Struthio camelus: one gene and its partners. The main gene of each other region encodes a partner of the protein of the gene in region 3 in a complex. Links are inferred from orthologs where the notes say so. Each region holds a gene or a part of one and is shown on either strand. Other genes may lie near its edges. The genes, in order: EIF3I, EIF3M, EIF3J and EIF3D.

Region 1 (7,086 bases), on a different chromosome or scaffold from region 3:
GGGCATGGGGCGGCACTCCAATGCCATTGCCTTAACTTGGCCTTTCCTCCCCCATGAGATCACAGTGCTGTACAGGTGTTGTTATCTGAGTTTCACAGCTCTCTCCTGCAGTGGGAGAGAATCATTAGATTAAATTCAAAGGTGGCTTACTTAATGCCTAAAGACCTACGTTTGCATGCCAAAGCCACGGCAAGACTGGAAATGGAATCCAGAAATTTAGTCCCAGCAGCTGTCTGTAAGAGCAGAAAGTGCTACACTAATAACCGTATTTCTTTCTTAACACAAAAAGGTGTGGAGTACAGACAAATTGCAGAAGACCGTGGCAATGCAAAGGTATGCCAGCGACTCTGAGGATGAAAAGCACTGAAGGATGTCTTTCCTTAGCAGCAAGGAACTCTGAAGACTTCACAAAGGGACTGTGATGGGAGAAAGACAGCTAGGTAGCTTGCTATCTAGATAACAAAAGCACGTGATTCTCAGATACATGTAACAGCAAAGACTGGCCACAGTTTCTGATGTATTATCTTCTAAGATCGAACACCATAATTGTCTGTGCTTGAGAGGGAAACTACCAGTGAACTGGAATCTGATGCACAATTTTGTTAAATAATGTAGTACTCCTCCTTTCCTCATCTCTACAGTATGACGATTTGGCAGAGGAGACGGCCGGTTTTCTGAACTCCAATTAAGAAACTGGTTTGTATCTGAATGTGGGGAGGAAGAATTACCAAATAGCATTTACTCCTTTATAATAAAATATCTGCCAGAAAATTTGTTGTGTCAGGAACTTCTTTTAAAAATATTTCATAGCATCATTGTCCCTCTAATTTGGAGTGCTTGGATAATGTTTGCAGCAATCAAATCTGCTCCCAGATTTGGTAGATTTGTTTTCCTGAATTAGGCAGATGTTCTTAAAAGTCATAGTAATAAATGGCTATTGTCTCAACACTCTTTGTGCAAGACTTTCTGTATCCTTCCCTAGAGTTCATGATTAATTACAAGGGTAATGAAGATGTTCCTTCAGGGATCTGTTTAGTATTTTGGACTGATTTTTTCACTGAAAAGAAAGACGCTTCCTCTTGTAGCAGCAAACCGCACTATTATTATTTTACGGATCAAAGTCCAGTGGAGAAGAGCCATATGGTACACCTCTGGGCTGTGCAGCATGACCTGGATACAATGAAGGAAGCCACTTTCATAGGCATGAAAGAGGAGACTTTCTAACTGACTCCTTCTACAAAAAATCAGCTAGGTCATAATTAAGGCAAAGTCATTGTCAAAGGAGAGTCTCTGAAGGACTTTTAAACAATTTATTATGCTTCCAGTGCTAAACAAGACAATTCAGTCATCCCTGCCTTGAAATGCTCACAGAAAACATTCCTTAACCCAGGACATCACATAGGATGTCCTTGAAAAATGCCTTGTTCCGCCATGGCGCTAAGGGAATACAATCCATGTTTTTAGATGTGTGTGTCAAAAATGCAGCTTCCTAGATGCAACTGAGCCTAATGGTCTGCTGCTGAGCTGGAAGCTCCCCTCTTCACACATGGAGATTACCTTGGAATAGGTTTTCTTCCTGATGTATCTCACGGCGTCTTGTTTATGAACCAGCTACGCAGAGAGTGACTCCTAGGACAGTGATCAGCATTCCTGCCACAGCTCCTACAGAAATAAACAGTAACCACACCAAAACCACCACAGAGACCATGCTAAAACACAGTAGCCTACACTATCAAGTTAGCAAATACATGCAGGAAGCAATGTGACAAAACGTATTTCAAGTCTAACTTACTTTTACCACCAATATCCTCTCCCAGAATCTTCCCAGTCACCAGTGTGGCTATCAAAGCCAGAGAGTTACAGAGTGGTACTGCCAGGGACAGATCTGAAATCCAACAGTTTCAACACAGTTTAAGAATGAGTGGTCTTGTACAAATCACAGACACTAAGAATGTAAATGACTTTGCTGCTATTACAAGGCAGCTGCTTGATGTTTAGCTGGGCCACCAGACTAATGAATAGGACTTTCCTATTCATTAGGGAATAGGACATTCCTATTCCCTAGGAATAGGGAAGTTCCTCCCAAAATCCCAATCCACCCACTCCACAAAAGCAATGAGAACTAACCTGTGGATGCCAAGGTGAGATAGAAAAGGAGTGATCCACACTGATTGAGCAGAAATGGCACCATGTACTGCAGGGAGAACATGAGCTTGTCAGTCGCTGCACACACAACCACTGTGCACCCTGTGGAAGCAGCCCAGGAGCGGGCAGTGAAGGAACCCAGACCCCCTTGCTCTGAGACTTTTTTTAGCAGCGGAAACCCAGCATACTAGTGATTCCGCTGCCAGCAACAAGCTGTTTAATGTCTTGGTTTCCCTACCTGCAAAAGGCAGACAGTGATTACTTTATGCAAAATAAGAACCTTAATGACTTGCTGTCTACAAAGTGGTCTAAATTTTGCAAGGGGAGAGCAACGCTCTAGGCAAGTAAATGAAATATTATGGAGGATAAATAATTCTGATGAGAGCTGGACTATTTAACAGCTCAAATAAAAATAGCAAGTCTAGAAGTGAGTGGACAGAAATGACCCAAAAGGCAGTTTAACACCAGATACCTCCCTGGCCCAGGAGCCAGAGCGGGTTCACACCTTGTAGTTGAGGCCCAGGAAGCGGATTTCGGCGAGGAGCTGCCGCAGGCGGCCCTGGCCCCAGACCTGCTCCAGCCCTGCAGCACCCGTCCGCAGGAACGGCCCGGTGCTGCCCCACAGCACAGCCACCAGCACCAGCGCCGCTGCCTCTCCTGCAGCACAGCCGTGCCTTAGCAGCCTGCTGATCCCAGGGAGCACCAGGCCCGGCTTGCGGTCGTCCCCCAAGGCGGCCTGCACTGGGAACGTGCGGGGGCCACGACCCGCTCCGGGAAGCCCCACATCAGGTCTGGCCTGCAACTGCATTCCCCCCTCAGGGGAGGCTCAGCTGGGCCCGGCCCACTGGCAAGTCCCCTTCAGAAAAGGCCTCCCATCGGGCCCAAACTGCCACCACGTCCCCCCAGAGAAGGCCCCGCATTGAGCCCAGCCTCCCGCCATGTCCGCCCCCAGGAGAAGGCCCCGCATTGAGCCCGGCCCCCCGCCACGTCCCCCCCAGGAGAAGGCCCCGCATTGAGCCCGGCCCCCCGCCACGTCCCCCCCCAGAGAAGGCCCTGCATTGAGCCCAGCCTCCCGCCATGTCCCCCCCCAGAGAAGGCCCCGCATTGAGCCCGGCCTCCCGCCACGTCCCCCCCAGAGAAGGCCCCGCATTGAGCCCGGCCTCCCGCCACGTCCCCCCCAGGAGAAGACCCCGCATTGAGCCCGGCCTCCCGCCACGTCCCCCCCAGGGGAGGCCCCGCATTGAGCCCGGCCCCCCGCCACGTCCCCCCCAGGAGAAGGCCCCGCATTGAGCCCGGCCTCCCGCCACGTCCCCCCCAGGAGAAGGCCCCGCATTGAGCCCGGCCTCCCGCCACGTCCCCCCCAGGAGAAGACCCCGCATTGAGCCCGGCCCCCCACCACGTCCCCCCCAGAGAAGGCCCCGCATTGAGCCCGGCCTCCCGCCACGTCCCCCCCAGGAGAAGGCCCCGCATTGAGCCCGGCCTCCCGCCACGTCCCCCCCAGGAGAAGACCCCGCATTGAGCCCGGCCCCCCGCCACGTCCCCCCCCAGAGAAGGCCCCGCATTGAGCCCGGCCCCCCGCCACGTCCCCCCCAGGAGAAGGCCCCGCATTGAGCCCGGCCTCCCGCCACGTCCCCCCCAGGAGAAGGCCCCGCATTGAGCCCGGCCTCCCGCCATGTCCCCCCCCCAGAGAACGCCCCGCATTGAGCCCGGCCTCCCGCCACGTCCCCCCCAGAGAAGGCCCCGCATTGAGCCCGGCCTCCCGCCACGTCCCCCCCAGGGGAGGCCCCGCATTGAGCCCGGCCCCCCGCCCTGTCTCCCTGTCCCGCCCCCCGCCCCGAAGGCCCCACACCGGGCCCGGGTCCCCGTCTCTCCCAACCCCATATCGGCTCCCTAGCAACCGGCTGCCCCGGAAGCTCACCCGGCGCCGCCATCGCCCCGGCGAGGCACTTCCGCCCGGCGGCGGGCGGGGCGCTCTCCGTGACCCGGAAGCGGTCGGCGCGTCGCCTCCTCGCCATCCTGTCAGGGCCGCCGCCATGGTGAGCGGGGGGCCGCGAGTGGGAGTGGGAGTGGGAATGCGGGGCCTCGGCTGGGGCTCCTGACCCGGGGGGCGGGGGGGGGGCGGCCTGGCCCTGGGGCGGCCCAGGAGCCCCGACCGGAGCCGAGGCCTCGCCTCTCCTGCGGCGTTAAATGGCGCCCCCCACCCCCCCCTTCTCCCTCCCCCGCAGAAGCCGATCCTGCTGCAGGGCCACGAGCGCTCCATCACGCAGATCAAGTACAACCGCGAGGGAGACCTGCTCTTCACCGTGGCCAAGGACCCCGTGAGTGCGGCTTCCCCGTCACCCCCGGGGGGGACTGTCTTCCCTCCCCCGCCCGCGTGTGCGGTGACAAAAAGTCGCGATAATTGAGCAAAAAGGGGTCGGCTCTTCGCGGGCCTCGCTAGTCCCTCAAGGTAGTGTGTGAGGGGAGGGCTTGACTGTCGTCTTCTCCCAGATCGTCAACGTCTGGTATTCGGTCAACGGAGAGAGGCTTGGCACGTACAACGGCCACACGGGAGCTGTCTGGTGCGTGGACGCAGACTGTATCCTTTGGTTGCTCGAACCGGCTTGTCCTGGCGGTGATTTCCTCTCAGCTGTGCTCGCTGCTTCTGCTGACCAGGCCCTGGGAGTTCTGAGAGGGTGCCCGAGTTGCACAAGATCTTCTGTCTCTAATGCCAGCAGCAGATAACAGAGGTAGCAGCGTGCAAAGGTTATGTTACTCTGGGAACTGGAGCCTTTTTCTTTAATGCTTCAAGTAAAAAGTTTTGGGGTTTGCAGTAGGAGCACTTGGACTTGGTGTCTGTCCGTACTGAAGTACTGCCAGTCCTGGAATGGAAGTTGCTCAGTCTGCAATTTCTCTGTGTAGTAAGGCTTTTTTATCTTGTGAATAACCGCTAGCTGTGTATATAGACAGTAGCTTTTGGGGGCTGGGAACGTGTTGATATTCCCTAACTGATGATGCAGGGGACACACGGCATGTGCTCACTGGCTCTGCAGACAACAGCTGTCGGCTCTGGGACTGTGAAACAGGTAAGACCTTCTCCCCACGCTGTTGTTTTTGATTCTCAGTTCTGCCTTGCTGTGAAGTTTGCTTGGAGTGCATGGTGGCAGCGTAAGGTGTCTGTTTAACCCTCTGAAAGAGGTCTGAGTTCTGGCTCAAGACTGCTTGAGGAAAGGGTTTGCTTATGGTCCTGGTCTCTAATGAACATTTAGTTAAATTACTCACCTCACCGCCCAAGTCGTCAGTGCACGCTTAGTGCTTGCAGGTCACCGAACCTGCTCATCAGCCTGTCGGATGCTCTCACAGTTGCTCTAACCTTGTAGTTAAACTGAGCATTTTCATTAATCTTGCCATGAGAACCTGGTGAGGTGACCCTTTCTGCCCTGTGTTTAGGAAAGCAGCTTGCTTTGGTGAAGACCAGCTCAGCTGTGAGGACATGTGGCTTCGACTTTGGCGGAAACATCATCATGTTTTCCACAGACAAGCAGATGGGATATCAGTGTTTTGTGAGCTTCTTTGACCTTCGTGACTCCAGCCAGATTGGTGAGGAATCTGGGCAATGCCGGCATGAGGTACTGAGGGGAAGTGTTGATAGCTGGAGCTGGTGCCATTCTGTCTGTCTCCTTCCTTCCTTCCTGCAGAGAAAAATGAACCTTACATGAAAATCCCCTGCAGTGACTCTAAAATCACAAGTGCTGTGTGGGGCCCTCTAGGGGAATTCATCATTGCAGGACACGAGAGTGGAGAGCTGAACCAGTTCAGTGCCAAGGTCAGTGTGATAAGAAGCAGCGTCTCCTTTGGCATCTGTGCGTGGGGGAGGATACTGCAGTGTTCCTGTTGTGGTCACGGGGCAGAATATGGACTCTTGGCTCAAACTAGCAGACTTGTGGTTAAAATATATGATTTCCCTGAGCAAGGCTAACGTAGCAATGTCAGCCCTGCAGCTGACAGTGAGAGCTCCTCAATTGTTTTTAATGGAGAAGTCATATGTACAGGGGATCTTTCTCAGCTCGCTTCACTTGCTAGTACACTGAAACTGCCTTGTTTACGCTTCAGTCAGGGGAGCAGCTTTCAAACATCAAGGAGCACACTAAGCAAATCAATGATATTCAGACCTCCAGGGACATGACCATGTTCATCACTGCCTCCAAGGACAACACAGCCAAGGTGAGGCCTCCTATCGGTAACGCAGTGCACTCTTGACGCTTCCTTTCAGGACCCTGCTCAAAGACATGGCTATCTCAGAGGTTTACCACTTAGAAATTTGGGTAAGCGTAAAGTCAAAGCTCAGTGGGAAAGTTCAGCGAGCAAGGGGACACCCTGCCGTGTTAGATTAGCAGACAGACGTTGGAGACAATGTTGCAAAAACTGAGATTGCAGTTTGCTGCTTCCAGGAGGTGACAGAGGTGGGAGTTACCCTAGGCTGGTATTTTGGGATTCTGTGGAAGTATCTTGGGGATTTTAGGTGCACGTGAATGGCATTAGAGACAGGAGAGGTAACATCTGCTCAGGTGAAGACTGGCAGCCGGGGGCTGGGATTTGTATGAGTTAATTGCTGTACAATTGTTGCTGCTTGTGCAAAAAACACAGGGTCTGCTTGTCAGTTGATGATTCTCCCAGCCCTTTTTGCAGAATAACTTTCTCTCCCTTTTGCCTCCTAGCTATTTGATTGCACAACACTCGAGCATCTGAAGACATTCCGGACAGAGCGACCAGTGAACTCTGCAGCACTCTCCCCTATTTTTGATCATGTAAGAATGATCTTATTCATGTGGTAATGGTCTTACTGTGATCCCTGCATTGTCCTGGGTAGTGGGAGTAGGAGGGATGTGCATGTGTGTGTAGGAGAGTGCCTTGTGGTTGCTGGTGTGGGGATGTGAGGAGGATTATAGAAAATGATGCTCG
Region 2 (7,190 bases), on a different chromosome or scaffold from region 3:
CATTAGTGATGAAAGAGTATGTCTGTAATTATGTTATTGACCAGTTTCCACAGAAAGCATTTATTCTTACCCAGTGTTTCAGAAGGCCAACTCAGCTTTCCTCTCCTCATCACTACAGATACAGAACTGCAAAAAAAAAAAAAAAAAAGCTGTAGAAGGAAAAATATGCCGTCACAGAATCTGTGTTTCTCTTCTATATTGAAGATCCTTTTTGTCCACTTTTTTTAATGAAAGAGGATCAGCTTCTAAAGTCCAACCCCAACAACTTTCATTTTCAAAAGCTGCAAAAAAACAAAAAAAAAGGTTACAGTGGGTGTCAGTCACAATCCCTCTTTTCCCTTCAGCAGCCAAGAATTAGCTTGCCACTGAACCTTTCTCTCTGTGCGTGTGTATATGCCCATACACATATACATACACAAAGTAGCTGTTTCGGAAATCAGTGACCTCCTTTGCGATCTCTCTCTGCCCCATCCCTGACATGCAGGTGGAGCAGGGCGGGGGTGCTGTTCCCACCCCACCCTGAAGACCTGCCTACTTCAGCGCCCTGGCTTGCCCTAGGCCCTGCCGCACTGGCAGGTGCCCTGTGCTCCACTGCAAGCCTGGCAGCTCCTGTAGGTATCTCTGGCTCTCTTGGCAGAGCTTGTACTCCATCTGCACAAGGTTTCTGAACTGGCTTCACTAATTGCAGACAGGATATAAACAATTGCCTTGTTTCTACAGGGATGTCATCATTCCAATAAAACTGACACACATTCTTCCACTACATCCTCTTTACATGGTAGTTTCACTGTCCCTTTTATATTCAGAATGGACTTCCTGATGTACAAGTTCAAATCCCAGCTACCATCTATCATCTTAACTCTTTTGGGACAAATAAAGTATCATGCAACATACCATATGTGGCTATTTCAGCAGAGCTCTTTAAAGTCATGTCCTGTCTACCCTGTGTGACCAATGCTTATTTTATTTTTATATATTTAGAATAATACATGGTAAAGCTCCAGGCCTGTGAGATTGGCAGCTTATAACCGGACACGATATCCTGGAACACAAACTGACACTAAACACATACTTGAGGTGCAAACACATAGTGCCTGAATTGTCTTCTAAAGATCTATGGCAAATCAAATGTATGATGTATCTCTATTCCTGCTATCCAGTGTGCTGGATGCCAAGTTGTCTTTTATCCTCATAGGATTGCATTAAGTAGTATTAGGTGAAAGTCATGTGCATTTCAGAAGTGCTAAGCACTCTCTCCTCTGAAAATCAGAACCCATTTCAGATTAGGCACACAAAGGAGATACGCATTTATAAATTTGAAAATTTTGATCAGTGATAGTCATTTTAAAGTATTTGGTATTATAATCAAACTATATATGTGTGTGTATATATATGTATATATACATCTACACATATACACACACATACTATATATAGTGTGTGTGTGTATATATAGTGTGTGTATATATATATAAAATTGTATATTAAAATATACTGTTTGAAAAACAACTTTGGCAAAGGTACCTTATTAGTTACAATGGCGTTACTATTTCAAAAATACACCAAAACTAGACTAAATTAATTAACCAGGATTTGGATGATAAAAACATTAAGAGTGGAACCATTATTCAAAAATAATACAAGCATGTATATGAAAAGTTATGTGAGTCATAAAGTTTAATGAAGGCAGTTTGGGCCTTTACCAGGTTCATTGTGTTGTAGAAATTTAGAAGTAGGCACTACCTCTGCTCTAACAAGCTTAAGTCAAGTTATTATTTGGTGAGGTAAAGGTTTGTAGGGAAAAAAAGGAAAAAAAAAGGGGGAGTGGGTGGGCTGTAGACAGCAGTCTTAGTAACTTAAGGAATAAAAAGCTTTTTTTAAAGCTACTTTTATCTCTGAAATATATGGTGAATACAACGCTAAGGTGATTATTTTATTAATAAAAAGTTGAAACTTATAATGGTTTCATTATCTTCTACATATCTTACGTAAAACCTGCATTAGAAGCATTTCCTAACGTATTTTGTGGGCTGGAACAAAAATAGGTTATGGACAGAATCACATAATGTGGGCTAGTTATCATCCAAATGTGTAAAACTCTCAGCTTTTTTTGCCAACGGATGCAAATGCTGGTCTGCAAGCTCACAATATTCCTCCAGATTTCGGATCGTGACTTTGACTCCTTCAAATAAGTAATCCCAAGGCACAATAAAGTTCATCTAGCATTTTGCAGGAGGGGTTGAACCTGCCCTCCCAGCCAGGGCGTTTGAATCCATCAAGATTCGTTTTACTAGGGAATGAAAAATTCTCATAGGGAACTTCTAGGATGACAAAAGTAGCACCTGCTCTTTTAAAAGCGTAGCAGCTTTCTGGAGTAGCATTCTTCAGTCTATACATCCCTAGAGTTCATCATCAATTGAGAGTTTTTCCTAATTACGTTACAACATATTAGCACAAGAGTTATAAATCTCTCTAAAAATGCAAAGGTGTCATTAATATTCAAAGAGTCTCCAAAGTTTCTAAATACAAATCACCGAGAACATCAAATGGTGATATTAAGGCCCCATTTTATTTGTGTTTCCACATTTATTACTAAAATTTCCTTTGTAAAATGGGGGCTAGATGAGTGGTTCACTGACAGCAAAGCAACAGCTCCTTTTGCTTAACAGTGGTAACACTGGGAAGGCACTCGATGGTATGATGAATAAATCAGTATACCTTTTTTCATACTGCAGATTATATATTTGAACTCTTGAAGCACAAAACACTATCTCCAGTCCCTGTAAACTGTATCTCATTTAGTTATTTTATATCAGGGACAACACTTTGCAAAACACTGTCAGGAAGATGTTTAACACATTCTAATGTAAACAATACAAAACATAGCGCTGTAGTACCAACCTCAAAATTCTCATTAAAAGAGTAATCATCTCAGCTCCCTTTCCCTGGCACTTCAGAATTCCATTACTGGTTGCTAGATTATATTTCTCCAGAGAAATATTTATCTTGAATTACTCAATGATTTCTAGAGTAATAAAAAGCTCTTTAATTACTTTCTAGCCAGTACTATTATGTAGCAACAATAAGCCATCCACAGACCCACCTTTCAAAACCCTCCAGATCTTATTGAATAAGTCTTTACAGACATTTAACCCAATTAGCTATTAATGTGTCTAAGTGTTTTCTAAATGTCTATATCCAGTGAATGCTTATCATAAACAACAGGGAAATGAAAGTTTCCCTGGCGTTTTCCCTCTATTTTCTTTCTGCCCTTTGTTTTAACCTTTGAAATATCAGGACAGTCAAGCCATGTCCCTCTTGTTCTGACAAGAGTGGCTGAATGGGAAATTTATTAATCTTTAACTGAAGAAACATGCAACATATTGGTATCAGCAAGTTATCTCTTACTTTTAATCAGACTATAAGCTAAGGTGATTTTAAGAACAAACTAAGCATCTGATTAGGAAGCCCATGTCCTTTCTCTTACCAGATTTCACTCCCAACATTATTTAAAGTCTTGCAGCAAGAAAAGGGCTAGGCAAGAACTTACACGTTTAACGAAAAAGTAGTAAAGAATCTAGGTTCAGAGAGAAAAAAAATTCTCTTTCTTTCCACATCGTACTAATCTTGGCATTCTGGGCACCTATTGCATACAGGCACAAATGTATGTCTGAATACCTTACTAAAGATGGCCAGCTACTCTTATCTGCCGCAGCGCGGCCAGCACTTGGGCCCTTTACCCGGCCCGCCTCGCCTAGGGGCGCACCGGCAGGCAGGACGGGGCCCGCTGCAGCCTGCCCCGGCCGGGGGAGCCGCTCCGGCAGCCGGACGACACCTGGGGCAGGCGCAGGTTTGGGGCCAGGCGGCTGCAGGCAGGGCACCCGCCCGCCTCAGGCGGCTAGCGCCGACCAGGGGCACCGACTCGACCGTCAGCTCCTCCGCCGGGTCCCGGGCGGCGGCCGCAGCTCGGGGCTGGGCACACAGAGCAGCCCCTCATCTTCGCCCATCGCCTCAGCGCCAACGCTCCCTGCTGCCGCCGCCATCGCCTCAGCGCCAACGGTCGCTGCCGCCACCGCCCAACGGCGCGGGGTGGGGGGAGGGGAGAGGGCGGGCGCGAGCGCCAGTGTGCTCCTCCCCCCGCCCCGCCCCGCCCCGCCCCGCCCCGCCCCGCCCCGCCCCGCCCCACAGACAGGAAGCGGAAGAACGTCAGAGCGGCACCGGAAGCCGGCCGGCCTTTCCGGTGCGGGCGGCGTGCTAGGGCGGCCGCGGGAGCCTGCGGAGCCATGAGCGTCCCGGCCTTTATCGACATCACGGAGGAGGATCAGGTCGGCGGCCCGGGCGCGGCGGGGAGGAGGAGGGCGCGCGGCCCGCGGTGGCAGACCGCCGGGCCGGGCCGGGCCGGGCCGGGGGTGTCGCCCGTTGGCCGGGACGGTGAGCTCTTGCCCGCCCCGCCCTCGGGGGCCTTGGCCCGGCCGGGGGCCACGGCCGCTGCCGGTCTGCGCGGTGGGCGAGGGGCGGCCCCCGGCGCCCGCCGTCCGGCACGGGGAAGCGGCAGCGGCTGCGCCCCGGGCGGTGGGCGGCGGGCGGCTGCGGCCGGGTGCGCTGGCCGGTCCTGCGGCCCTCGGTGGCGGCGCAGCGCTGCCTGCGAGGCTTCGCCGAAGGCGGTTGTGCTCGCGCCGCAGCCCGCGCGGCTCTTTGCAAAAGCGCTGGCAGCACGGGCTAGAGATCTGGGGGTGCGGGTTGAAGAAACTGAACGTGAAAGCAAACGCGTGTTCACAGTTTCGTCATTGAAGATTGCCTGTACCTCGCTAATGTTTTGTCTTCGTTCCTCCTCAACAGGGCCTTTCTGGGAAAAGAAAGCCGGTTCAGATACCGGCTAGAGTATTAGTTAGGTTTCTTGTTTCTCTGGGTTTCTTGATGTTTAAATTAGAGTCAGGGAAATAGTTTTGTCTTGGAGCTATTGCTTTGTTGTCTTTGAATTTTAGTATTTGTTCCTTATGTCTTTTGCATATGTAGTGTGAAAGCTAGCAGAAACACATGTCAGAAACACTGGTCTTCAGTCCAGTTCTTGCTTGCTCTGGTGTCTGGCAAATCCTCTTCAGGTAGCTAGTCTGAAACATCTTCAGGATAGGGATGGATTCTAGAGCATTTAGTTATGTCTTATGGTACTGTGTTGGTCTGACATGGAACTTGATGCAAATTACATCTTTCTTGTATCACCGTAGCATTTAGATCAGAATTTCTTATGCCAAAAGTTGTATGGCTTTACAAATCACGTAAATCAAACTTGATAAGATTGACTCTGAAGAGTTATGGTTCTGCTTCTGAAACCATGGATTGTAAAGTTAGTGTGTAGATCTGTCACTGTGGAAAAGATATCTTCTTACTGTTGGTTTAAATCGTAACAAGATAAAGCAGGTCATAAGATTGGAAACTGACCGTAACTTGTGTGAAGACTGAAAGTTCTGCCTTCTCTAAAGTAGTTATAGCCTTTGTCTCTTCTGTAGAATACACAACTACATGGTTTTATTATTTCAGCTTAAGTTGTCAAAGAGAGTAGAAGTCTTGAAGATAAGAATCCTTAAGAAGGAAACATCTTTGTCACAAAGACTTGTTACAGCTGCAATTCTCTGTCCAGCAGTTGTGACGCATGCACTGTGAAAAAACCCAAGTTATGTGATCTGTTCAGTCACTGGCCAATTAACTGTAGCACGTGGTGCCTCTTAGACTTAGATGATATTTAGGTGGTGTATTAAAATGGGGAAGAGGGAGCATTGTAGGATACAGTGTGGTAGGGGGAAATGGAGCTAATGTGGGTGAGGAGAGCAGGGGAAAGAGGAATAACCGCAGAAAGGAGTCCATAAGAAATTAATTTCTTTGACTTTGCTGTTCACTAGCCTTTTTTTTTTTTTTTTTAAGGCTGCAGAACTTCGAGCTTACCTGAAATCTAAAGGAGCTGAAATCTCTGAAGAGAACTCTGAAGGTGGACTGCATGTTGACTTAGCACAGATTATTGAAGCTTGTGATGTGTGCCTGAAGGAGGATGACAAAGGTTTGCACCTTTAAGTTGTGTCAGTTGTGCTAAACATATCACCACCCATCTATACTTTCAGATAACTAACTGTTCACAGAATTTAGAGGTACTTTTCATGGCTTGTGTGCGTTAAAAAGGCATGTCTCTTTAAGACTGGAAGAATGCATTTCCAGTAGTGCCATGTAAAATATGCCTGTACTCTGCCCTTGTTTTCTCCAGACATCCAGTGACCTTTGAAGAAGTCAGAAATAAAACTGGCTGTGCCCTCCATGAGGGTATAGCAAGTTGTATATAAAACAAGCTTCTTTTCTGGGAAAAAATATATATATATATATATATAATAAAATAAGACTTATGACCAATTAATGGCTGTGGTGCAGCAGATCAGATAGATAGCAATAAAAAATTAAAACTGTAGACCTCTGTAATGAGACGTTTTAGGACCTAAACATTAGTTGATTATATTGTTTGAAAACGTTAGAATTTTGGTGGTCCTAACTCCTTTCGGAGTTAGGACCATACGTCCTTAGAAACTACATTAATCTATTTTAATGATGCTGATGATACTGTGGTAGCCTTAACTGATCTTTCTCTGCCTCCTCTGTTCTGTGTCAGTATAAAGACCCATTTAAAACTTTTACATGTAAAACAAATAGCTCATAAGAATAACATACGTTGTTTGAAAGAATGCGGAGTTTGTCTAAGAATGAGCGTTTATGAATTTTTTTCTTTTACTTATTGTAAGCAAATCAGCATAAAATAATAGAAAACCTTATTGCTGTGTTGCGTGATGCTCAGTCATTATAAATATATGTATAATATATGTTTTGATAATACAAAATAAGCAGTCATAGCAGAAGTGATTCTTTAGTATTAAATAGTTACTGATGATGATTGTTGCTTGCAATTTTAAACAGCTGCATATTTTGTTTTGTGCAGATGTTGAGAGTGTAATGAACAGTGTAGTTTCTTTGCTTCTTATCCTGGAGCCTGACAAACAAGAAGCACTGATTGAAAGCCTGTGTGAGAAATTAGTAAAATTTCGGGAAGGAGAGCGCCCATCTCTTAGACTGCAGCTGTAAGTATTGTCTCTTGCACGCAGCGTACTTTGTCTTACTCTCCTTTTTGCCATAAATAAAATAGAAGTATCTGTAGT
Region 3 (7,831 bases):
TAAATTGACGTACTTGGAGAGCTATTTATAAAGACTTACGTTACTGGAAAAGAGCAGGAGTACTTTGAACAGAGATCCTCTAGCATGCACACTTTTGAGATGGAACGTTTTGAGGCTGGGTTGAATCGAGTGATACGACATTTGCATCAGTAGGTTTGGGAACAATGGTAGAGGTTTCAGGAAACTGCTTAGACGAGGCTGAAACAATCAGAATAATTTTGGTGCTTTTTTGTCTTATTTCAATCAAGATTTGTGGAAGCAATGGGACTGGAAGAGAGGCGCACACCCGACGGTCTGACCATGCGACCGCAATGAACCTAAGAGAAAGACCTCAGGCGCTAAAATATTTGAGACAAGAAGTGACGTTTATTCCTGATGTGGACAACGCAAATCTACTTGAGTGGCTCCCGTTCACAGACTACTTTGAGGATACCAATGCAGATCTCCCACTCAGGATTTGGAGACAAGAACCTGCACAGCTCATCTGATAATAAATTCAAGGTCTGCATTGGTGAACTGCTGAGAGATGAGTACTGTTTTCTATGTGTCAGTCCCAGTATGGAATTGCTTCCTGATAGAGGAGGAAGAATTTTACACCCCCTTCCTGATGATAGAGGACATGGTAGTATGGCAGTTCAGTATGATCCATCATTACTTGGACATGCAGACATCATATATGAGATTGGAACATCTTCTAACAGCCTTTGAGCTCTAGCATCTTGAAGTGGAACTGCTGACTTTTGGAAATACGCTTCTAAAGTCAGTTGCGAGAAAAAGGGTCAGAGAAGAAAAGATGCGTTTCCTTGCAGATCTTCGGCATCTGAAAACTAAAACAGAAAGCAGATCACCCCCTGAAACAGGTGGTTTGGCTTAACTGAAAAAAGTACCTAGCAGAAGGGTACGCTGTTTGTGAGTATAGCTCACACAGGAAATAATGAAGGAGGTGCTTGGCATGGCATGTCATAAAATGCAAGAGTTCGTGCAGCTTGAGAGAGACAAGTACTGATTTACATTAATGGTTGGCCTGGAGCTCAATTATAAAATCAAGTTAAAACAATGTCAGAAGCAATGTCACTGCTAGTGCCAAGAGTTGCTCAGATGTATGCTATGGCCTATAATGGCAGCAGGATCTACTTTTAGAACGCTCATTCTGAAACCAAAAGTTGGTCTTTATTAGCAACTAAAAAGCGTGCACCATGTATATCCTCTTATCAACCAGTGGGCTGGAGATAAGGAAAGACACCCAAATATATGCCTGAATTGCTGGTGACCCTTTGAAGCTATGGAGAAAAAGAGGGACCGTGAGTTAGTAAAGATCCCTCATCACAGGAATTTTATCAGTGGCTTCGCATTACTACTATCTGAAAATATGCAGCATGACGACAGTCACAGACTGTTTCCCAGAGAACAATGCAATAGTAACGTTGGCTAGTGTCACCATTCTAAATTTGAAAATTTAGAGCTTTAATTTCCTTAGATTTTGAATGGGTCACCAATGTCTCCTCTTCTTCAGCATCAGAAAGTTGTTGCTGTAAAAACTCTTCTCCAAGAAGCATCAGAATTGGTTCAGTAAACTCCCCGTGAGAAATCTGATCAGATTCTCATGTCCCTATGACATCACAGAGTTGGGAGGCGGTGATGAAGTAAACTGGATGAAGTTAATCAATGTTTCCAACATTTATGCATTTGACAAGGTAGAAGGAAACAGACCAGTGTAACTGGTAGAGGCTAGGCTGGATCTGGTTGTAGCTCCCAGGCATATCAGCGAGTTTGATGTTTAATCCTCAGACAAAACAGTTCTCCACTTCTAACCTATTCCATCAGGAACATCCAAACAACATGAAGCATCAAACGTCAGGTCTTGAACAGACGTCTGCTTACCTCTGGCTAAATCAGAGCTCTGGAGCCGTGACAGTCGCTCTCTCTGTCTTGCGTGCAGAACAATCTAAAGGGACAACACAGGCCTCAGAGCATTTCAAAATAAAATATTCCCTGGTAGCAGTGGGGAAGAAGTTGGAGAAGAAGTTGGAGAAGAGTGACAGCTTGAAACCGTAAGAGGCAAACAGTCCCTTTATAATCTGCAGCAAGGTGAAGGTGTAAACCCACTTCTCTAGAAAGTTCAAGCACTTAAAATACTTATCCTGGAATCTGTGGGATGTAGCAGTTTTTGCGGCATCCAGGGGGGACTGGAAGAAGCGCAGAGAGAGTTTTCACTTCTATGGATCTACTGTTTAAAATGAATCCTCCAGCCAGTGGGATAGCAAGAGAATGACTTTCCAATGACAGCTGGCTCTAGAAATTAAAAAATGCAGAATTCATTTGCTATTTGGTGTGGGAAAATCACGGCTACAACTGCGTGTGCAGCGTGACTTCACTGGACTAACTGCAGCGGAACTAAAGGCCCCTGTACAGCAGAAGTAAGGCAGCTTGGATATCTGTGGATTTGTGTCCTGTGGTTGACTGACAGCTCAGGCTACAGCCCTTCCTTCCACTGAGTCTGTCTTCCATCTGATACCTATTTTATATTTGTAGACACTGAATTCCTGTAAGGGACCTTTAGACCTCTGCTCAATTTGGTTAAAGCCAGCTGGTGAGTTCAAAGTTTTTAAGTAAAGGACAACTATAGTGATTGCAAGGCCACGATCCCCCCTGGGAACTGAGCTAAAAACCCCACCTTAAAGAGAAGGAATTATGCAGATAAATTGTGAAAGCATAATCTGGTTGCTAGACTATCTCTACAGCTTTACTGCAATCCTACGCCCATGTTTATTTGTGGTTTGATCACGAACCTGAAAGCTGGGAACTGACTAAATCATAACCTACCTTTACTATAAATTTATACTATTATTAAGGGGATTAGGAAATAGTTTATGGCACCAGTCTGAAACAACTTTTGAAAGTATTTTCTCTTTTCTTCTCTCCCATTCTGTTTTAAAGAACTCCCTCTCATTCCCTGAACTGAAAATAGCTGAGGGCTGAGTAGTATTCAGGTGGACGTAAGCCGTGCTAGATGAATCTAGAGCATTTCTCATTAGTAAAACTTAATTATTTCTGAATAGGATTGCCTACTTAGAGCCTGTGACTTAAGTTGTTTTTGTTCTGCCTGTTCTGTCTGTATTTATGAGTTAGGAATAGGAAGAATAGAAAGTCATTCAAATCCTGTGAATAACTGTTCTTGGCTCCGTTAAGGGTAGGAAACAGATATGCAGTTATTAGCCATATTTGTTCAGATCCAGTGGAGCTTTCATTTATAATCATTGCAAGGCATCCTAAAAGAGAAATATCTAAGATGTGCAGGAAGTTATGTAATTTCTGTTGGACTGCTTCCCGAGAAACCTTAAAAAGTTCCCTAGTACTGATACCAGAATACTCTGTATTGGTGTGTCAATACCGGACAATATATGATGCTCCAAAAAACTGTGTCCTGAAATATAGCATGTAAAGGTCTCTTCTTAGTCTTGGGATCACAGCATTATATACATTTATTGTCTGATAAGGGGCATAACGTTTGAGTCATGGAAATTTTTGTACTGAGAAAGCCTATCAGAAAACAGAGATTCCATTGCTGAAGGAAATGTTATTATCAAAAGCCTACGAATAATGTATTAATTATCTGCAGCTATTTAAATTAAATTATTGAACTATAGTTTGCGAGCATGAGATAAACTATATAATCCACAACAGCACAAGCTGACTGAATTGAAACTGAATTAGGTTTTTTGTAGCATTCCCCCCCCCCCGCCCAGTCCTATATATTCTATTTCTAGTGTTTCTTTCTTATTTTTAAGAATCAATCCATACAAACCTAATAAAAATATGCCTGATTGGGACATAATTTTTTTTCCCTTCATAAAGGGGCCTATCGACAGTATCGGAGGATATTTTTTACTACAAAGCTGTAGTAAACGAGAGGTAATCGCTGCAACGTCAGGTGGCAAAGCTTACCGTGCATGAGGCTAGTTCCTAGAAGCTTACGGTTTTCTGCTGTATTTTTTATGTCGTTAGCATATTTATGTTTTAGCTCTGCCATCTGCAGAGGGCGTGAGGAATTATCTCAGGCTCAGTCACAAGCCTCATCTTTACCAGGGAAAAAGATAGTTTTCGGGCACGGGGCGGCCTGCGCCGAGTCCCAGGCTCTCCGCAGGATCATCCTCGTACGGACGGGTTCCGTAGGTACAAAACGGTACTATTTTAACCTTACCAGGGTATTAAAAGGAGTAGGACGCACCAAAAGTGGGCCCGGTTATATCCATAGGAAAGTTCTTAAACAGCTTATTCCCTGTCCTCTACAGGGCAATACACCACGACAGCAGTACGTTTGACAGTAACGTTTTCTGTGCCTCCCACCTGGAACAGCAATCCCAGCCTTCTTTTCCTAGTGGGGACGTGTTCAAACACAGCAACCGGGAAACCCCTTCTTCCTGAGGGCAGCGTTTAAGGGCGCGCACTGCTCCTGGCAAATCTCTACCGTACGGGGCAGGCTCCTTTCGCTCTGCAGGTGTTTTATGACAACGCTACAAAACACTCGCAGCCCCCTCAGCCCGGCACCGACATGGCGGCCCCGCGGCCCCCTCAGCCCGGCACCGACATGGCGGCCCCCGCACCCCCTCGGCCCCCTCAGCCCGGCACCGACATGGCGGCCCCCGCACCCCCTCGGCCCCCTCAGCCCGGCACCGACATGGCGGCCCCACCCCGCCTCAGCCCGGCACCGACATGGCGGCCTCGCCTCAGCCCGCCCCGCCCCGCCCCGCCCCGCCCCTAGGGGGCGGTGCTTGTGGGGGAGGCGGGAGCGCGGGCTGGCCGGCGGGGCGGGGCCCTGTCAGTCCGCCGCCATCCCGGCGTGCCCCGCGCGCGGCGCTGGCCGCTCTCGGCGCGGCTGACTCACCGTGCTTCGCTGTGGGCGCTGCTCCGCGGGGCAAGATGGCGGCGGAGACGGATTCGTGGGGTAGGTGGTGGTGGTGGTGGTGGTGGCGGCGGCCGTGCCCGGCGCCCCGCGGGAGCCCTGGCTACCGCCTTGCCCCGCCGCTCACCCGCTCTCCTCTCCTCCACAGACGCGGACAGCTTCGAGGTGGTGGAGCCGGTGGCGAAGCGGCTGGTGCCGGGGGTGGCCGGGGACCGCTGGGCCGGCGAGGATGAGGAGGACGACGTGAAGGTGCGGCCGGGGCCCGGGCCGGGGCCTGTTCCCGCCGGGGCCGGGCTGGGCCCACTGGGGCGGGCGGGGGCCGAGACCGGGGCCGCCGCGGCCGCGCCGCTGCCATATGGTGCCGCGTGTGGCGGGCCCCGTGCTGCCGGCCGGGCCGGGCCGGTGGACGAGGGCGGCGGCGGCTCCTGCGGCGCTGCCGGGGCTTGAGGCGGGTTTTCCTCAGGAGCCGGGGGGGGGGTTGGTTGGGGGGTGAGAGCCACGAAATGGGTTTCTGAGGCCCCGGGCTCTGCCGCCTGCTGCGGAGATGACGAGTCGAGATGCCACATGGAAAAGACTGCGTTTCTGCTTTGTGCTTGTTTAATCCTCGCTTAGACTGGTTATTTTTCCTTAAGGTTCACTTGCTTTATATTGGATCTTCCAGGTGACAAAAGAGAAAGACACTTTTACTCTCCAGTTTTCTAGGGAATCCACCTGCTGCTTCTGAGCTGCTTGCCAGCAGCTTGGTGCTTTTCTGCAGCCAGCTGGTTTCTGCTTGCTTTCTGTAGACCTTCTCAAATGCTCTTTCAGATCCTTGGTTTTGAGTAGCATAGACTAGGTGAGGCGTTAAAAGTTGGATTTAATGGAAGCAGCGCTGTCTTAGTACTACTTCTATTGACCAGAAACTTCTGGGCTGCAGCAGCCTGTCCCTTCCTGCTCTCACTCCTCTTCCTACTTCTTCCCACCCCCCCCCCCCCCCCCAAGCCCCACCACAGTTGGAAAATAAAGCAGTCTACTATGCTCTTTCAGGTTTGGTAGTGTCCAGATCACTAAAAGATGTTTTGTTTACTTAAGGCTCTCTTCTTACTGTGTTTCAAAGTGTAATGTCTGCATGGAGTTTGTATTAAAATGTGTGAATGTTCATCTGTAATATTTATGAAAGCAGACCCTCTTTAAAAGCTTGTTGTCTTTTATTTAGCTCCAGCTGTCCCTTAGCAAGCCAGATTGACTGAGTGGTGGATGCCACAGAAATCTTAACTTGCTCAGCGTTCGTATAGACTGTAAGCAAAATGATGCCAGGGGACATAAAAGGAATGTGTTTGACTATTAGGAATCAAAATGGGTAAACTGAAAAACACTTCTCTGTTTCAAATCAAGGTGCTGAGGTGCTGCAATAGACAATCCTGTAGCTCACTAGGTGATGAGTACTATATTATGGTCAGAAGTATGAGGCTTTCTGAAATAGAGTATTGCTGCTTATTAGGCGAGGACTTGTTGGTTTTGTTATTTAGGCTGCTGCTTGTGTTACCAGAACCTCTGAAAAACGCCAACACGGTTGTCCTTGGAGCTTAGGGTGGGTATTCTTTTTTTCAATCAGTATGAAAAAAGTAGTTCATCTTGTCTTAACAACAACAACAAAAAAAACCCAAATATTTTTGTAAGTTATGGGCTGCCTATTTTTCACCTTAACTATAGGGTGTGGGGGTGTTATTACATTTATAGGTGTCAGTCACATTACACCAGGCAAAATGAGTAAAGGTATCTCTGTATACAGTGGCTACGGTAGTTTGTAAAGCTTGTGGTTAGAATGTGACTATACATGTATACTTATTTTTACATATCTGTGTACACACACATACATACGTGTCTGTATTTATTTATTTTTTGATTCCAATTGACTTAGCAAAGTTTGCTTTTCCTGATTCCTTTGAAAGTGAGAAACTTTTCATCTACAATATAATGTCTTAATGGAACTGGACTATAAGCTGTTATTCTTTTAAAGACGCCAGCTTTGTATGGCTACTCTGATAAAGGAACAAAGTTTTCCTACCAAAACATTCCTACCAGTAAGAAAGTTACTATTAAGGGATTAAGGCTTTAGTACTGGAGCTGCATTTAGAGACAAGGGCCCCTAGAGCAAATAAAGCTGTTTTATTTTACTTTGAGTTGCACTTACTGTATAGATGCTAAAGATCATGCAACTGAGCCTGTGAGATAATTGCTTAGATTGTAGATACCTTGTTTGTAACTGTCAGCCTCAGGAAAGTACCTGCATAAGAAAAATGACGTGGTCTAAAATACAAGCCCAAAGTATTTTCTGGCCAGTAGTTTGCCTTCAAGTTGGTATTTCACACTTCAGATTTTTTTTTCTTTTTTCTTTTTTTTTAATATATTCAGATTCTATAGTTTGTTATGGAGGTATTTTAATAAAGATAGTAACTGTTTTAAGTTTAGGAAACTTTGCCTTTCATGAGATTAAAATTAGCATCTTCGTAAGTGACAAAAGTTTCCCAGAAGACAGGCCTGCTGCCAAGGAATTTTCATCTATTTACTCTTGGGCAATCCTATACTTAACAAAGCCAAAACTAGGAAACGTGCTTCTTATCGTATAGGCAACAGCCTTTGACATGGTACAGTCCTTCCTCTTTGAAGGAGAACGCGAAATATTGACTGGGAATCTAAATAGTGGAGAACCTGTAATCTTCAAGTAATGTTCTCTGTTTTTCTGGAACACGCATCTTTGTACATTTAAAGGTACATGTGGTGGAGCATATGAAATTGTAATAGTTGCTTTCATCAAGGGTTTATTTGCATGAAATGGAAGATGTTTTTCAGTAACCTTATTTTAGTTAAGTATGTATAAATTAGTATCTTTGAAATGCTTCAAAGTTTTAAGTGGTGTTAGTGGATGTATTTTGGAATTAAGACGAC
Region 4 (7,061 bases), on a different chromosome or scaffold from region 3:
AAGTCAGATTCACAGCACACACACAGGAAAGTTGTTCTACGGGCTGTTCTTCCAGGATTTCTAAAAATTCTATCAACCACAACTCTGAAAAAGCTGGCGAGCAACTGTCACTCAAGGAAGGCAGGCTTAGAGTTCAGCATCCAGGCAGCTTAGGAGAGGGGTGAAGAAGGAGCAAAAGGAGGCCACACTCAGCAGTGAAGGCATTTGGCCTGAGAGAACAGCAGATTGAGAAGGCAGTTAAAAGCGCAACTGGAAAGATGAGTTGCACAGAGGAATGCACACCAGGGAGGTAGGAGGGCTTCTCAGCCTGTGAACAGAGGGAGAGAGCAATTGAAACACAGCTTTTTCTGGAGGACAGTGATCCTTCTGGGCAGCTGAGCAGCCAGATAGTTGCTGGCCTGTGACAGGAGCCACTTTAGATGCAGTGAAGGTTGTTTGCAATGAGAACGCAGGAGCCAGCATTAAGTCTTGCCACTTTAAACAAGATGACTTTGGAAGAACAGTCTGAAGAGGTTTGTAAACATTAGTCTTCTCATCTCGGGGAAGGTGCTAAGGCTGAAGATTATTTTCTCTGGTTTCTGGGTTTGTCAAGAAGTACAGGGCACTGGGAACTAAACATATGGTACAGGCATACAGTGTGCTTGTTGTCTAGTTTAAAAAAAGAAACAATTGGCTATCTTTGATGCATTTGTTGTAAGAATTACAAAAGGAACTACTGGAAATTAGTGTTTCAATATGAACCTTAGTCTTCAAGTCCCCTCTTTGAGCAGAAGTCCTGCGCAGCAAATGGGAATCACAGTCACACAAGTTGGAAAGTAACCCCTATCCTAAGGCTTTCCAAGGTGTCTCCAGGTAGGGAAGAGGGTAGCTTTTTTTCTAGAAAAGAACCCTAATAGGTTGGGAGCTTTGAGTTGCTTTCCTTCATTTAAACCTGGCAAATTTCTTATGATACTGCCTGAGCTGCACGTTCTTCTTGCTCAGCAGGATGAGTCTGCTGTTCAGCACACAGCCAGCTCACAGAACAACAGCTTTTGAACGAGCCCTGAATTGCTGCAGGAGATGGAGGGAAAGCACTAGATTATGGCTGTGAAGCCTTTGGACTGGAACAGCCATGATGCTAGGACAAAGCCCGCTTTTATGGATTTGCTAACACCAGTTGCAGATCCCCAAAATAGAGAAATAGGAGACAAGGCTGCAAAACCAGATGGGAGCAATTTATCCTGGCTGTTCTCATGAGCATCTTCCAGGGAAAACTGATTAGCCTGATTAACTGTAATTAATTGATTAACTAGAATTGTAGATTAATGATCAAATGATTGCAAGAAAGCGTATTCTGAGCAACTCAGGGCTTCACTGGAAAACTCATGTGCCTGTCATAAAAGCCCTCAGCTAGATAGCAAATTATTGGCAGAAATGGTGCTTGGGGTTGGCAAGACAGGAACAGAGGGGTACATGCAACACTGGAGCCTCGACCACAGCATTGGACAGGAGATCAGAGGCGGCAGTGTATGGTGCTAAATAAAAAGTGAGGTAAAACTTACTCACTCCCCCCTCGTAAATCTGACCTAAATCTGGCAGAGAACATCACCCTCTTCAAGTCTGCAATAAGTTCTTAGAACTGAAATATTTTCCCCTGGATAAGAAACTGGTACTTTACACTGGAACATAAAGGAGTATTTATTCTGGACAGGACACTCCCTACGCATGCTCTGTCCTCTGAACCATGCCTCGTACCCAACTCTGTCCCCAGAGAAGGTATTTTGCTGGGCTAGGCCCAAACTGCAAATAACCTGTCAGCTTGGAAGACGAAAGCAGCATTACAGTCTCTTTTAAGAACCTCACACCGAGTTGGGAGCGAAAGGGAAGCTGAGGAAAGGAAGAGGAAGGGATTTAAATTATCAGTCCATTTGACATTGCTTCTCTTTATTCATTCCCTAATCCAGCTTTCTCTTTGGGATTTCCTGTTCCTTTTATCGCTGTCTCCCAAGCAGGACATGAACACAACAATGTTCAGATTGAATCTAATGTATCAAGCTGGATAAAGTGTATTTATCTGTTCCACATAGATAGATAATGAGGAAGTTAGTTATAGACTGGAATATAGCCAGAGCAGTCCCAAAGGTGCGTAAGGCCACCTCCCACAGCCAGAGCCCTCTGAGCCTACTCAGCCCGCCACCCGAGTTGGGGAGGGAAGGGAATGGGAGTTGGTGGGGCACTGCAGGAGTCACATTCTGGAGCTAGAATCCACTGCGCCACCACTGGAGAGCAGTGAGGCAATTCCAACACTCATTACATTTGTGCCCAGGAGGGCCATTTAGGTGGGACAGTTACAAATTGTATTTTATAAACTATATTTCTATAAGCGGATTTTTCACTAGCTAGGAAAATTGCTCTAATAATCCTACTCCTGATTAATGGGGAGGTATCCTGGCAAAGTAGAGACTGCTGCAGCTTCTGTGCTTTCTCAGGAAGTAACTAAAGGTGGTGAATTTGTAAATAATGGAGAAAATGCACACCCTTCTGAAGAGTATTGATCTAGACTTTTCTTGGGTTAAGGATACCCAGGAAAATTCTCCAGCCTATGAGCTGAAGATACCTGTAAGCTGGATCCTGGTCTTTTAGTGGTAGAGAAAATTTCAGTGATTTGAGTATCCAAGATTTACCAATGAGTTTTTGCTCTCACCATCTGAGAGGGGAAATAGATCCCAGTTATAGACAGGGATCTGAGGCATGTGTTATATTAAACGACTTATTCAGGGTCTCCTGAAGAGGCTATGGAGTTGAATGCGAAGTTGTAGCCCTACATTTCCTCTCTAGCAGGTCAAGGAAAGCCATCAGAGGCAATGCAAAACATCTAATATCATATTGTGAAGGCAACAGGGACAACTGCAATTAGCACTTTTCACACATCCTTACCCCTCAAAGTAAAGTATTTCGTAAAAATACTCTAAAACCCAAAGTCAGTTGTATGACCATACAACTGCAGTCAATACTACCTACTTCTCTACAAAAACATTGCAAAGTTTGCAATACATTTTTATTTCAAGAGGCTAACAAAAAATGCTTTGTCTGACAAAATTAAGAGGCACAGAATTAGATCGTGCTTCCTATCCTGATACACTGCCTTATTGATATACTTCTTGTCAGGAGCCCTGTAAGTCTGTTCTTTATCACAGACACAAATCTATCTGTGAAAATAGGAATTTACCTGTCAGACTTTACAGTAAGTCTTTTTCATGTCTGCAGAACAACCTGGCACAACTGGACAGGAGGGCACTGAAGCATAGCAGTAGAAATGTTTGTCAGTTACTAAGTTGAGGATCAGTATCCTTTCCTGTACATAATTTTAGGCAGAGTAATTTGTGCTCAACCTCCGTCAAAGAAAAGAAGTCTTCTTGATATGCAACAGTCACCTCTGATCATGAAGTCCAAGTATCCCTATGAGAGCAACAGATAAAAAAACCAAGGAACTCTGTGAAACAACCTGGGCCATCCCACTGCGGCCAGGCAGAGCCGTTATATCAAAATCATTCCCAACAGATGTTGGCTTAACAAAGGCTTAAATACCCCTATTCACGTTCAACAACGTTTCTAGAAGTTTAATCAACTTTACAGCGAGAAAAGATTTTTCTAACATCTCACTCAGATCTCCATTGTTTCAGTTTGAACTCATGTTTCTCCTCTGCTTTCAGGAGGCAGGGAAAACAATCTGTTTTCTTCCTCTTTGTGACAGCCAAGTACAACCCGAAAGGCTTTGTCTTGCCTCATCTCGGCCTTTTCCACTTAAAGCTGAACACAAGCTCTTCTGCGGATAAGGCAAGTTTATTATCGCGAATACCATTTTTTTTCCCCGTTAACCCCACGTACTGTTGGGCAGGTAATTAGGAGGGTGCGGGACTTCAGTAATCGCTACCGTTGTGACAAGAGGCACCATCAGAACAGGGAACAGGCTAACTCAGCCCCCACGCAAGCCACGGGTGACGCGGTTTGACGTTATCTGGGACCCCCCCCTCCCCTCCGCGCCCCCCCATTCATCCCAGCAGAGCCGGCACCCCCAGGGCAGCTCGCGGGGCTGCTGACAGAGGGCTCTGAGGCACTCCGCCAACTAAATCCTGCGTCATAGGCAGCAAGAAGAGGAAGAAAACTCCGGCAGCCACCGCAACCGCCGCTGCCGCGGCAACCGGCACCGCCGCGGCCTCAAGGCACACTGGGATATTGGAGGGAGCGCGGAACGTCATGGAGGCGCCCGCGGGCGCGCTGCAGCTTTTCTAGCCAGGCCGTCCGGCAGCTCTATGGTTTCGGCGTCATCCAGACGACATCTGAGCGGGAGGTGGGGCAGAGGTGCCCGTGCTTTACGGCAGCCCCGGGGCGGGAAGAGCGGAGCTCCTTGGCGGCTTTATTTATTTATTTATTTTACGACGGCGGCGCGCGGCGATGACGCGCTAAGGCCGGGCCGGAGCCGTGCGGGGCCCTTTCCTCGCCGCCGCCGCCGCTGTCGTCGTATCCGCCGCCATCGGGGCCGCGCAGGTGAGGAGCCGCCGGTGGCGCGGCCGGGGCCCGCCCGCTGCCGCACTGGGGCTGGGCCCGCGGGTATCGGGGCTCCCCCTCCACCCGCGGCCCCGCCTCTGCCCCCGGTTCCGGTGGGGCCGAGTTTCCCCATCCCCCGCCCTGCCCCCAGGAGCGTCGCCTCGCTTGCGGCCCCGCGCGGGGCCGGGAGGTCAAATAGGCCCGTCCTTCTCTTGAGGCACCGAGGCCTGGGCCGCGGTGTCCGCCGTGTCCGTAGCGCAGCCCTGGCCGCCCTGTCCCGCAGCAGCGGGTGTCGCGGTGCTTTGGCAGGGTTTGCCACTTGGCAACTGAGCTTTTCTGGTTGCTTTCCCCCCCCCCCCCTTTTTTTATTTTTACTTTTTTTTCCTCTCCTAAAGGTTTAAAAAATGGCCAAGTTTGTGACACCAGTGATCCAGGACAACCCCTCGGGCTGGGGCCCTTGTGCTGTGCCTGAGCAGTTCAGGGATATGCCATATCAGCCCTTCAGTAAAGGAGACCGCTTGGGAAAGGTATTAAAATCATGTCCTAATGTGGAGCTAGGGAAGGTGGCAGCCTTTGTGTTAACCTGCTGAATGAGCCCTATGTTCCTTCTTACATATCACCTGTGCATAGTAGTGGTGCTTTATTTTCAGAGCTTCTTTACTAATTACTATGACTGTTTTTGAAACATCCTTTGTAGTCCATCCTAATTAGCATAGTTGTGAACTATTAGCAAGATTGGCAAGCAGAGGTGGGAACTGAAAGGAGTGATTCTGGAGCATAGAGCCATATTTGCTTTTGCTGCTTGAAGTCCTGCATATGTAAAGTCAGAGTTGCTACTTGCTTATTTTGACTGTTTGTTTGTCCTTAGGTTGCAGACTGGACAGGAGCCACTTATCAGGATAAGAGATATACGAGTACGTGCTGTTTGGTGACTGCTCCTGTCATTTGTTTCATACAAGCTTACTTCAAATGTCATTCCTGCTTTCATGTTTCATACCGGCTCTAGTGGTTGCCTACGTTCCTCAGCAAGAGCTGCTTATATTCAGAAGTGTGCCTCACCCTTGGGAGAGCTCCATGGGGCTCTCCCCGTCCTTACGGTTTGCTTGTGGTTTTGTTCTACCTCGTGACTGGTGCTTTTCTTGGAGGTTTAGAGGCAGAGCAAACTGCAGTGGTATAAGGTAGACAGTCCCAGCTAATGCATCAGGCTTGAGGGAAGGCGTTTGGAGGGGATTGTTCCCCCCTCCTACTTCGCCAGTCTTCTTTTCCTAGAAGCTTGATAGCAAGATGCTTTGTTTTATTTTCAGACAAGTACTCTTCACAGTTTGGCGGAGGAAGTCAATATGCATATTTTCATGAGGAGGATGAGACTAGCTTCCAGTTGGTGGATACAGCACGGACGCAGAAAACCGCGTACCAAAGGAATCGTATGCGATTTGCACAGGTAACACCTGTTTTCCAAAACTCTGAGAGCTTGAGTGGTAGCAAATTATTTTATAACTAAAATGTCTTTCTCCCCCCCGCCCCTTTTCACAGAGGAACCTTCGGAGAGACAAGGACCGTCGGAACATGCTGCAGTTCAGTATGCAGACACTGCCAAAGAGTGCCAAGCAGAAGGAGAGGTGAGACCCTCATACGGGTATACTGTATTTGTATGAATTGTGTCAACAAAGTATTGATAAATTGGGTAAGATACTGTAGCAGAAACCACCAGAGCTAACAGTCACCAAAGAACAACTTGAGGATTTTTTTCAAGTCCATTGTTTTGCCCAAGTCACTTGTAGTTATAAGCATGGGTTTCAAACAGCTACTTAAGAATTTAGGAGAATTTCTAAATCCAGTTCAGAAAATAACCGTGGTAATTTAAAATGAAGTATACTCCTTTTGGAAGCTGCGTTGTAGTCTTCAAAGGTGAAAATATTTAAACAGCAGCTCGGAATAAAGAGCAGAGCTTGTAACGCTTCACACATCTTGATCAACAGACAGCTCAGTGAATGTTTCAGTGGCTTGGTGCCGAAAGGTATTGTTCCTTTGGTGCTAAATTGGAAGTGTAGGAGTGGTTGTGGCATCTAGGAATCAAGAACTTGTCGTGATGGCTTTTCACATGTTTGCCGTTGTAGAGATCGTTTGCGTCTACAGAAGAAGTTTCAGAAACAGTTTGGAGTGAGGCAGAAATGGGACCAAAAATCACAGGTAAACTAGCTTTCTGACCCCTGTGATTGTCTAGTTCTTTCTCTGCTCTCATGAGGCAATTTCTCTCTCACAAATCCTGATGTGTTGTGTCTCTCTCTCTCTCTTTATCTGTCTACTGTCTGGCCGCACAGCAGAAGCCTCGTGACTCCTCTGTTGAAGTTCGCAGTGACTGGGAGGTGAAAGAAGAGATGGACTTCCCTCGACTGATGAAGATGCGCTATCTGGAGGTGTCAGAGCCGCAGGACATGTGAGTTTCTAAAACAGCTGAGTGCTCGCTTCCTGAACTGACTGGGTTTTGGAAAGTAGCAGGGCAAGGGCCTCGTGGCCCATGCCCAGTGTTCCCA

Evidence for each region.
Region 1: EIF3J (region 3) and EIF3I share a complex: the UniProt entries of both Homo sapiens proteins name them as parts of the eukaryotic translation initiation factor 3 (eIF-3) complex. The link is inferred for Struthio camelus from reciprocal best matches to the Homo sapiens genes EIF3J and EIF3I.
Region 2: EIF3J (region 3) and EIF3M share a complex: the UniProt entries of both Homo sapiens proteins name them as parts of the eukaryotic translation initiation factor 3 (eIF-3) complex. The link is inferred for Struthio camelus from reciprocal best matches to the Homo sapiens genes EIF3J and EIF3M.
Region 4: EIF3J (region 3) and EIF3D share a complex: the UniProt entries of both Homo sapiens proteins name them as parts of the eukaryotic translation initiation factor 3 (eIF-3) complex. The link is inferred for Struthio camelus from reciprocal best matches to the Homo sapiens genes EIF3J and EIF3D.

Annotation. Positions count from the first base shown.
Region 1 is NC_090964.1:8,572,826-8,579,911, forward strand, and holds the start of EIF3I (eukaryotic translation initiation factor 3 subunit I), read left to right. Parts: upstream 1-4,160; 5' UTR 4,161-4,178; coding exon 4,179-4,181; intron 4,182-4,370; coding exon 4,371-4,463; intron 4,464-4,635; coding exon 4,636-4,723; intron 4,724-5,144; coding exon 5,145-5,210; intron 5,211-5,574; coding exon 5,575-5,724; intron 5,725-5,822; coding exon 5,823-5,950; intron 5,951-6,237; coding exon 6,238-6,348; intron 6,349-6,842; coding exon 6,843-6,932; intron 6,933-7,086. Other genes in the region: DCDC2B (doublecortin domain-containing protein 2B), read left to right, coding at 290-367; TMEM234 (transmembrane protein 234), read right to left, coding at 1,601-1,662, 1,793-1,885, 2,128-2,194, 2,651-2,953. UniProt on the Homo sapiens protein: Component of the eukaryotic translation initiation factor 3 (eIF-3) complex, which is required for several steps in the initiation of protein synthesis.
Region 2 is NC_090946.1:27,112,768-27,119,957, reverse strand, and holds the start of EIF3M (eukaryotic translation initiation factor 3 subunit M), read left to right. Parts: upstream 1-4,170; 5' UTR 4,171-4,283; coding exon 4,284-4,325; intron 4,326-5,919; coding exon 5,920-6,052; intron 6,053-6,973; coding exon 6,974-7,112; intron 7,113-7,190. UniProt on the Homo sapiens protein: Component of the eukaryotic translation initiation factor 3 (eIF-3) complex, which is required for several steps in the initiation of protein synthesis.
Region 3 is NC_090953.1:1,192,645-1,200,475, forward strand, and holds the start of EIF3J (eukaryotic translation initiation factor 3 subunit J), read left to right. Parts: upstream 1-4,828; 5' UTR 4,829-4,920; coding exon 4,921-4,945; intron 4,946-5,051; coding exon 5,052-5,152; intron 5,153-7,831. UniProt on the Homo sapiens protein: Component of the eukaryotic translation initiation factor 3 (eIF-3) complex, which is required for several steps in the initiation of protein synthesis.
Region 4 is NC_090942.1:59,344,225-59,351,285, forward strand, and holds the start of EIF3D (eukaryotic translation initiation factor 3 subunit D), read left to right. Parts: upstream 1-4,041; 5' UTR 4,042-4,527; intron 4,528-4,922; 5' UTR 4,923-4,931; coding exon 4,932-5,054; intron 5,055-5,395; coding exon 5,396-5,441; intron 5,442-5,831; coding exon 5,832-5,968; intron 5,969-6,060; coding exon 6,061-6,146; intron 6,147-6,644; coding exon 6,645-6,717; intron 6,718-6,848; coding exon 6,849-6,964; intron 6,965-7,061. UniProt on the Homo sapiens protein: mRNA cap-binding component of the eukaryotic translation initiation factor 3 (eIF-3) complex, a complex required for several steps in the initiation of protein synthesis of a specialized repertoire of mRNAs.